Linked DNA regions of Mus musculus: region 2 is reported to be linked to region 1. The links are microRNA targets in miRTarBase. Many come from high-throughput screens and were not tested one by one. Region 1 holds a microRNA gene; the other region holds the end of a gene's coding sequence.

What was found. Region 1 holds the annotated microRNA mmu-miR-681 (CAGCCUCGCUGGCAGGCAGCU, at 1,699-1,719, opposite strand). A microRNA usually pairs through its seed, bases 2 to 8, with sites in the 3' UTR of a target mRNA and lowers its output. Matches are read on the target gene's strand: a 7mer-m8 pairs with bases 2 to 8, a 7mer-A1 pairs with bases 2 to 7 and ends in A, and an 8mer does both.
Region 2: miRTarBase lists Helq as a target of mmu-miR-681. Seed matches in the 3' UTR shown: 7mer-A1 at 3,578-3,584.

What each region holds. Positions count from the first base shown.
Region 1 is chr12:69,762,225-69,766,616 of GRCm38, forward strand. Mir681 (microRNA 681) reads right to left here and starts at 1,720; the gene lies at 1,611-1,720. The region is part of intron 3 of Cdkl1 (cyclin-dependent kinase-like 1 (CDC2-related kinase)); the gene reads right to left.
Region 2 is chr5:100,758,744-100,763,135 of GRCm38, forward strand. Helq (helicase, POLQ-like) reads right to left here. Exons shown (of 18, transcript NM_001081107.1): 18 at 3,405-3,893. The coding sequence ends at 3,756. Among named protein-coding and RNA genes, the nearest start is that of Gm36619, 34 kb to the left of the region's middle.

The sequences.
Region 1 (4,392 bases):
ATCCTTAGTGTTCCCCTAATGCTGAGCACAGTATCACACCATCACATTTCTCAATGTAGAAACTGTTCAAACTACACGGTGTCACCTGGTAGCTACCTATTTCCTGCCTTTATTATTTCATTTCTCTGTAACATGGGAGCCTCAGATTCTAAGAATCTTCTTAGCTAAAGCACACTGAGATCATACCAGGACACCAGTTTTCACTATTGGGGAAAGGAAGAAAAATAGTATACTCTGCAACATCAGGAGAAAACTGGAAGAGAGAGAGAGAGAGAGAGAGAGAGAGTACACATATGTGTGTGTACCTATAGAGGCCAGAAGAGGGCATTGAATCTCCCAGAGATATAATTACAGGTGGTTGTGAACTTCCCAACGTGGGTCCTATGAACAAAACACTAGTCCTCCGAAAGAACAGCAATTGTTCTTAACTACTGAGCCATTTCTCCAAATCCACAAGTAAACTATTGAGTGCTGAGACTCTGAGCCTGCTGTCCTCGCAGGCTGGGAGACAGCTGGCAGTCAGTCACAGTTGGAAGGCTGAAGGCAAGCTCAGGGGCACAGATCGGAAGGTTCTGATTTGGTGTCCCAGTAAGTGGCTCAGCCAGGTAACTAAGTGCACAGTGAAGCTTGGGGCTTCCCATAAACAAAACCAGAGGCGATATGATGCTCAGGGGCAGCTTCTAATAAAACTGGGGACTGTGCCAATAGTGGTACAGACTCGTGATTCCAATTCTCTGGAGGCTGAGCCAGGAGGATCTCAAATCAAGGGCAGCCTGGGCTACATAGCAAAAGATTGTCTCAAAAAAGCAACCAGGCCTTGTTTGCCTGGAAGGTGACTAACCACCTTCCAGGCGAGCAAGGCAACCCATCCAGGTTGGAATAATATGATGTACAAGTTAGGAAGGCTGGAGGTTGTCTTCATCATACCCTCTGCCTTCTGCCATCCTAGGTAAATTATGAAAATCTGTAATACACTTAGATGTTTTGGGAAACTTGGGGTGACTGGGAAGAGCCCCCAGACTGAGACAGATCTTCCTCAGCTGTAGTCTGTGGTGACAAGGCTAAGAAGTTTGGTTGGCTTCATAGTGTGTGTTTCTATGTTGACAGCAAAATATGGTCTTGCTCTAGGGCAGAAGGTAGAGGGACTGGGGCAGTGGTAATGGGAAGAAGCCAGTTCCCTCCCATTCTTTCCTACCCCAGATATCTCCCACTGGAGTCCTGCTCAAACATATGCTCTCCCCTCAAAGGAATCACCAATGCACCAGAGCATGGCTTCTGAAAGAAGTTGGTGTCTGGGTCTTTTCCACCAGGCAACTGGGTGACTGAACTCTAGACAAGCCATATATCATTTTCTTCTAGGTAAGGAGTGCTCAGAATTTGACAGTCAAGCCTGGGGCCCCTGGAACTAGACTCCTGAAGAGTACAAATCCCCAGACCTACACATGAGGCCCTCAAGAGCCAGGTAATGCGTTTGAGAAAAGTCAGGCATGGGTGTTTGTTCCCTTTATCCTCCAACTCAAACCAAGATGGAGGGAACTTGGGAAGGCACACCCTTCCACTGGTAGTCACGTGGCCCTGTTTGGGTGAGGGAGTTGTCTTACTGAAAGCTACAACTGTCCCGCTGGAGGCCCTGGACTGCGAGTGAACTGAAACCCATCTACCTGCTTAGGGAGAGTGATGAGGACAGCCACACTCTGGAGCTGCCTGCCAGCGAGGCTGCACTGTGCTCTGAGGTTGTTGCTGTTGTTTGGAGACAGGGTTTCTCTGTGTAGCCCTGGCTGGCCTGGAACTCACAGCAATCTGCCTGCCTTGGGAAGTTTGTTTTATTCCAGAAACACAAAGGACTCCTCATTGCTTCACTTCTGGGGGTTTCTAGAGGGGGAAGGATCGTTAGAAATATCTACGCTAGATTTCTGAATGACTATACTACCCTTTTACCAATTAGAGACAGGTGTACTTGGAAAAAAAAAACAAAGGTAAACCCAGAAAAAGGAAGACAGGAAACCCAGGAAGTAAGGAATTCATCTGCAGAGAAATGCAGGGGAAACCGCAGGTGAGCAGCAATAGGGGGCCTAGGGGGACAGCTGGACAGCAGGCCCTGACACAGGGAACTAATGGCAGGATGCCACAACAAAATAATAAATAAATAAATAAGTACATACATACATACATACATACATACATACTAGCAGAGTCAGATGTGAGTGCCCTGAAGAAAAGTATGAGAGGTCATTTTGAAAATGGAAGAAATTATGGCTAGGGTTAAAGAATGTTAGGCAAATTAAAAGGTAAAGTAGGTATTAGTTTTAGGAAAAATATGATAAGAAAGTCAGGTGCAGTGGTGCCGCACGCCTTTAATCCCACTCGGGAGGCAGAGGCAGGCGGATCTTTGTGAGTTCGAGGCCAGCCTCGTCTACAGAGTGAGCCCAGCACAGTCAGAGCTCTATAATGTGACTTGCTAGTATAAGTATTTGGACAACTGGGGTAGGGAATTGGAGATGTGATTTAAGAGAGTGAAATCTTCATCCATCAAAACTGGGAGTCTGCGGGCGCTGGAGAGATGACTGAGGCGTTAAGAGCACGTGTTGCTCTTGTAGAGCACCCAGGTTCAGTTCCCAGAATCCCCAGGATAGTGCATTAGCATCCTCAACCTCAGTCCCAGGACACAGGTACCCTCTCCTGCCCTCTGAGAATACCAGGCACACGCACGGCACACACAGGAGCAAGATACCCATACAATAAATTAAGTTTAAAAATAGGAAGCCCACAATATCCAAAAACGTTAGGAAATGTCAATATCCCACTTTTTGTCTTACATTATCCGCTAATAATCTTAGGAGGGGGTTTTCACTGAGGCTCACGAGAGCTACTCATTTATCGTCTTCCTGACGTGAAACGCCTTTACCTGGCTTTTGCATCAGGAGAGGTGGACTCAGAGCATGACTTGGAAGTGTTTCCTTTGTACTTTCCTGGAGTTTGGATCGGGTTGCTATTCCTTTCTTATGCATTTGATGGACTTCACAAATAAAATATTTGAATAACAGAACCCAAGTTGGCATGGTTATAAGGAAAAATGTCTAACAGTTCACATCTTGGGTGGCAAAGTAAATTTGTTTGGTTTGGGGAGAACCTTAGTTCAAGAACTTCTAAATCGAAAGTTAAGAAAAAGGAAAACCTATTTGTAGGGGGAAATTTACGGTAGAATTATTGATCAGACCAAATTGCTGACAAGTTCTTGAATCTTCAGGGATGGGGGAAATGGCTAGAAATAATGCAACTCAATGTAATGGCTTACAGTAACCATAGGTCTAAAGGTTATATTCCTGTGTATATAAAAGACACACGAAAGTGTCCTAATGCAGCAGAGAACTCGTTCCAGAACACAGGGCATGCACTGCTTTCTCAGCAAGGCAGCTGGCAGACTGGCTGCTGTGGCCATGGTCTCTGGACCTCCAGACATCTGGCTTTGTCAGCATACCAAGACAGTAGCCATGGTGCCACAACAAGGTGAGCGCCAAGCCAACCTCCCAGCGCGGTACAAAACAGCAGAGCAGCTGCTTTCTCATACGTGTATAAACTGTGTCTGCTGGCTTAGTGCCAGGCGATGGATAAAACCAGTTTACCATCTTTATGAGGAGAAACGGATTGGGGTGGGGGTGGGGAAAACATGACTCCCTTTGTTGTCACATTGAGGCACTTTGGCTGCATCCATGCCCGCTTCTGGAGAGAGCCGTGTCAGTAGATATAATGCCTTTAATATAAGAAGTTCTTCTATTTAGGGTATCCCTGCTTTCCCCCCTGCTCTGTTGTCATGGTTAATTGTTGAGTATCAACTTGACTGCATTGAGGGGGACCCAAGAAAACTAGTGAAGCCCACCCCTGGCTCTGTCTGTGAGGGCTTTCCCAGTGACAACAAGAACACAAAGGCTCCGTCCTAGCGAATGGATGGTTTCATTAATCGATAGGTTTAAACTTTTGAGTGAACTATTAGGCAGGAGTGGAACTGTAGAAAATGGGCCTAGCTGAGGGAAGTGAGTCACTTGGGACATGCCTCTAAAGGGTAAATGTTGACACCTCTCCCCCCCACCCCCACTTCCGATTACTCCTCTCTGTTTCCTGGTTGTCAAGAGACAAGCAGTTTCAGCCTATCACAGGAACATCACGATATCCTTCCCTGCCTCAGGCCCCCAGCCAGAGAGCCAGTCAACCATGAACCAAAGTCTGTGAACTCATGAACCCAAATAAATCTTTCTTCATAAACAACTGTTTCTCTCAGAGATTTGACACAGTGTCAAAGAGTCTTCACACGCATGCACGCACACGTGCGCGCGCACACACACACACACACAAGTCCACCTATCTGTTTACGTCAGAGTTTTATCTGCCATGCCT
Region 2 (4,392 bases), not on the chromosome of region 1:
GTCTACAAATGAGTTCCAGGACAGCCAGAGCTATACAGAGATACCCTGTCTCGAAAAACCAAAAAAAAAAAAAAAAAAAAAAAAAAAAAAACCAAAAAAAAAAAAAAAAACAAAAACAAAAAACAAAAAAAACAAACCAAACCAAACCAAAACCAAACCAAACCAAACCAAAAAAACCTCTCTGATTAATTAGTGAGAATTAATTATTCAGAACCTTGCTTAATCGGGAAAACTAAATAAATAAAGTTGGGGTTTCCAGGTGTAACAAAACTGAGGAGTGATGTCCCTACTGGGAGCCTCTATTAGATGTTCAAAGCAGCCAGCAGTCTAGCCAGCTGCTCTTTTATATGTTTGACTGTAATAAACGGTATGTGCAGTGATGCCCAAGAGACTCCTAAATCATTAGGATGTCAGACATTGGTATGAGTGAAGAAGTTTAGAGATGGTGCATGAATAGGGATGCAAGGCCAGGATAAAGTCAAGGCTGGGGGTGTTGTGTAGCAGTTTCTTCTGAGGCTGAATCATCCCATCTCATAGAAAACTCCAAAGACAGAGGGGAACAACTCAAATAGCCTCAGGAAGTCCCTGAAACTGACCAGATTCACTAGGCCCCTCCCTCTCAGGGTAAGCAATAAAAGCCAGCCAAGGTGCTGAGAAGAGGCTTAGATGAAGTGAGCCACCTGGGACACTCGTCAACCCTCTGAGCAGCACGCAGGCTGTGCAGTGTGCTCCAGGTTCCCAACTTCATGAGCTGTCACGCATGCTGCGGTGAGATTTGGTGGTGCAGTTGTCTTTCAGTCATTTCTGCTCTTTATGTTAGTAATCCCAATAAGACATACTGGTTCACCAAGTGGGACTTTGGTGGTATCTGCAATGAGGTCTGTAGTGGGCTCCTTATCTAGGTTTAGTAGAGATGTGTGTTGTATCTCCCCAGGAAAAGTCTTGTCACGCAAGAGGAAAGTAACACTTGAAAGGGAAACACAGACAGAGCCACCAAAATAATTGAAGGGTTTTAGCAGGCCCTTCCCCATTCCCTCTGCCTTGTAAACAATGATTAGATTTCTAAAACTGGCCACAGGGTCTATTCCCTGATTTGGCCATTTCCTCCTCCTGAGGTTGACTACCAAGGTCCAACTAGCAAATTATTAAAGCCCAGCAATAATAATAATAATTAAAAAAATCCCCTTCACTCAACTAATTAACATGCCCATTTAAAATTAAACACCTCATCCTAACACAAGGTTTCTCCTTGTACCTTTATAAACTGCCATTTTCCTATGTGTCACGTCTGTCCTCTCTATTCAGAGGCAGTCCTTTGTCCCTCTGGGGTAAATATCCTCCCCCTCTCATGTTCCCGTCCCCTTCTCCCTCCTCCTGTCTCTCCTGTCCTTTGTCTCTCTGGGACAAATGAGTCTCCTATGTGTTGATAACCTGGTCATGGCGTCTTGTGCTGACACCAGTCCCTTCAGTAACCTTACATAACGCATGCATGAGCACCAGGCTGGGCACCGCACAGATCTGGATTCCTGTCTAGCAATTAACACTCTATGGCCTTGGGATTCCTGTCTAGCAATTAACACTCTATGGCCTTGGGATTCCTGTCTAGCAATTAACACTCTATGGCCTTGGATAAGCTACCTTAACCTCTCCAGTTCACTCAGCCACGCAGTGAGGATTCTAGCACCTGCCTCACAGCCCCAGGATGACTGCATAAGCGGCAGCTTCTGACACACAGTGAATAATACCATGTCAGTGAGTGCGGTGTTATCTACTACGTCAGGACACGGAAGGTGGCCGTGAACTTTCCTCTGAAAACCTTCCCATAGAAGTTGCTCAGGTGATCAGAACTTACCCAAACCAGTAAGTGCTTACCCAAACCAGTCCAGTGCTTGTAATGTTGCTGGGCCCCATCTTTCCTTATCCTGGCTTAGCTGCTAAACAGTTCTTAACTTGTATTTTTAGTGTGCGTGGGTGTTTTGCCTGCAGGTGTGTGTACTGTGGAGACCAGAATGGGGCGTGGATCCCCTGGGGTCAGTTATGGGTGGCTGTGAGCTGTCATGTGGATGTTGAAGCCTGGTCCCCTGCAGGAGCAGCCAGTGCTCTGACCACCAAGTCTCTCCACAGTCCCAGGTTAACTCTTTTTCACTATAATTCTGATAAAGGAAACATTGTACTTAAGAGAGTCTTGAAAAGAATTATTTCTGGTTAATTTTGGTGTATGTAAGTGTGCTTAATCATTTGCAAGTTTTTTTTTCTAATAATAGAGTTTATAAAATAAAAAAACCAGAGTCTTCAAATTGTTAACGTGGTTCTCCCCACAGACATTCTTATTCTGTAAATGGTGGTGTATGCTAGGTGGCACAAACGTTATTAGTGAAAACATAGAACATTCCTGAAATAACAGCGAAAGGAAAAGAAAACCTGGAATGCTCAGTGGGGAGCACCCTGTAAGGGCTACAGGGATGAGTATGGAGTAACTTCACAGTGCTCAGTGGGGAGCACCCTGTAAGGGCTACGGGGATGAGTATGGAGTAACTTCACAGTGCTCAGTGGGGAGCACCCTGTAAGGGCTACGGGGATGAGTATGGGGTAACTTCACAGTGCTCAGTGGGGAGCACCCTGTAAAGGCTATGGGGATGAGTATGGGGTAACTTCACAGTGCTCAGTGGGGAGCACCCTGTAAGGGCTATGGGGATGAGTATGGGGTAACTTCACAGTGCTCAGTGGGGAGCACCCTGTAAGGGCTATGGGGATGAGTATGGGGTAACTTCACAGTGCTCAGTGGGGAGCACCCTGTAAGGGCTATGGGGATGAGTATGGGGTAACTTCACAGTGCTCAGTGGGGAGCACCCTGTAAGGGCTATGGGGATGAGTATGGGGTAACTTCACAGTGCTCAGTGGGGAGCACCCTGTAAGGGCTATGGGGATGAGTATGGGGTAACTTCACAGTGCTCAGTGGGGAGCACCCTGTAAGGGCTACGGGGATGAGTGCGGAGTAACTTCACAGAGATAGGATTTGAGTATTGAGTTGACACTAGAAGTATATTAACACTTTCATACAATGATGATAACACATCAGTTAGGACACACAGGGTTCTGGTAATTTTGGTGCAAACTGATGGGCGAAATGAGGGTGACAGCTGAGCTTACAACGCAGCACCACAGCACAAGTCAGCACGTGTGTCAGTCGTTGGCACCTGTCAGCAAGAACAAGACACCAGGGGGGCGGGGAGAAGGTAAGAAAACAGTGAAAGATGTGAGCAAAGAGCCAGGTCAGGCTGGGTGTGCTGAGGAGAATTCTGAGCAGGAAACAATGTACAGGAACTCAGGACTAGGAGAAATGGGTTATCAGTGAGATGGTTCGGCAGTTACAGGTGACGGTAGACTTAATCACCCAGAGCGCCTTCTAAAAGCTCATCCACAGCTTTTAATGTATAATTAAAATACACATTTCATTTACACGGGGGATTTTCAATAATAAAATATATATATAATAAATAAGTCAAATTAAAAAACATACATCAGACAGCTTCATGGGGTTTTTTCTTTTGGAGACAGGGACTCATGCAGCCCAGGCTAGCCTCCAACTCTCAGTGTAGCTGAAGCTGATTTCTGACACTCATTGTCCGTCCTGTCTCCCGAGTGCTGCGTTACAGGTGCTCACCACTGGGCAGTTTACAACCCCCCGGCCTTTTCTTCTGTCTTGGAGGTACTGAGGATTTATTCCAGGGCCGGAGGCATCTCAGGCAAATGCCCTAGCTCAGAGTTACGTCCCCAGCATGGCTTCCTGCCCTTTCAGAGCTGGGACCCCCAAGCCCAGGGAGGTCTGCAGGCAATCTCAGTAATTCTTCTGCTTCTCCTTGCAGTGCCTCCGCCTTCTCATGCAACAGCATCTGCAATGAAAAACCCAGTCATGAGGCCAAATGTACCTGGCTAGAGAGCTGCCAACATTGTATGTCTGCTAAAACCCGAGTTCTGACACACAGATGGCTAACGCTGGGCCTGAAATAGTGAGACTGAAAAATGCCCACTTTACAGCCCACTTTACAAGTTCAGTAAATGAAGACGAGGTATTCTGCTAAAAACCATTTTAGCTGATCACAGCGTTCAGTGCACCAAAAATAAAGAGCTTTCCTACACTCAACGATTTGTTTCACAGAAGACTCAGGCACTTAAACAAAATTTATAATCTATAAAATTTCAGAAAATTTTGCAAAAATTTAATTAGCTCTTGAAACTGTTATCCTTTACGTACGTATTTAATTAGCTCTGCCAACTGTTTCATTTAGCGCGTGCTTTTAAAAGCCCATCAGTATTGCAGAAAGAAAGTTTTCCTAAGGCTCCTACAGAAACATGATCGGAGCTATCACCCTTTCCACTAAAGCGCCTGTG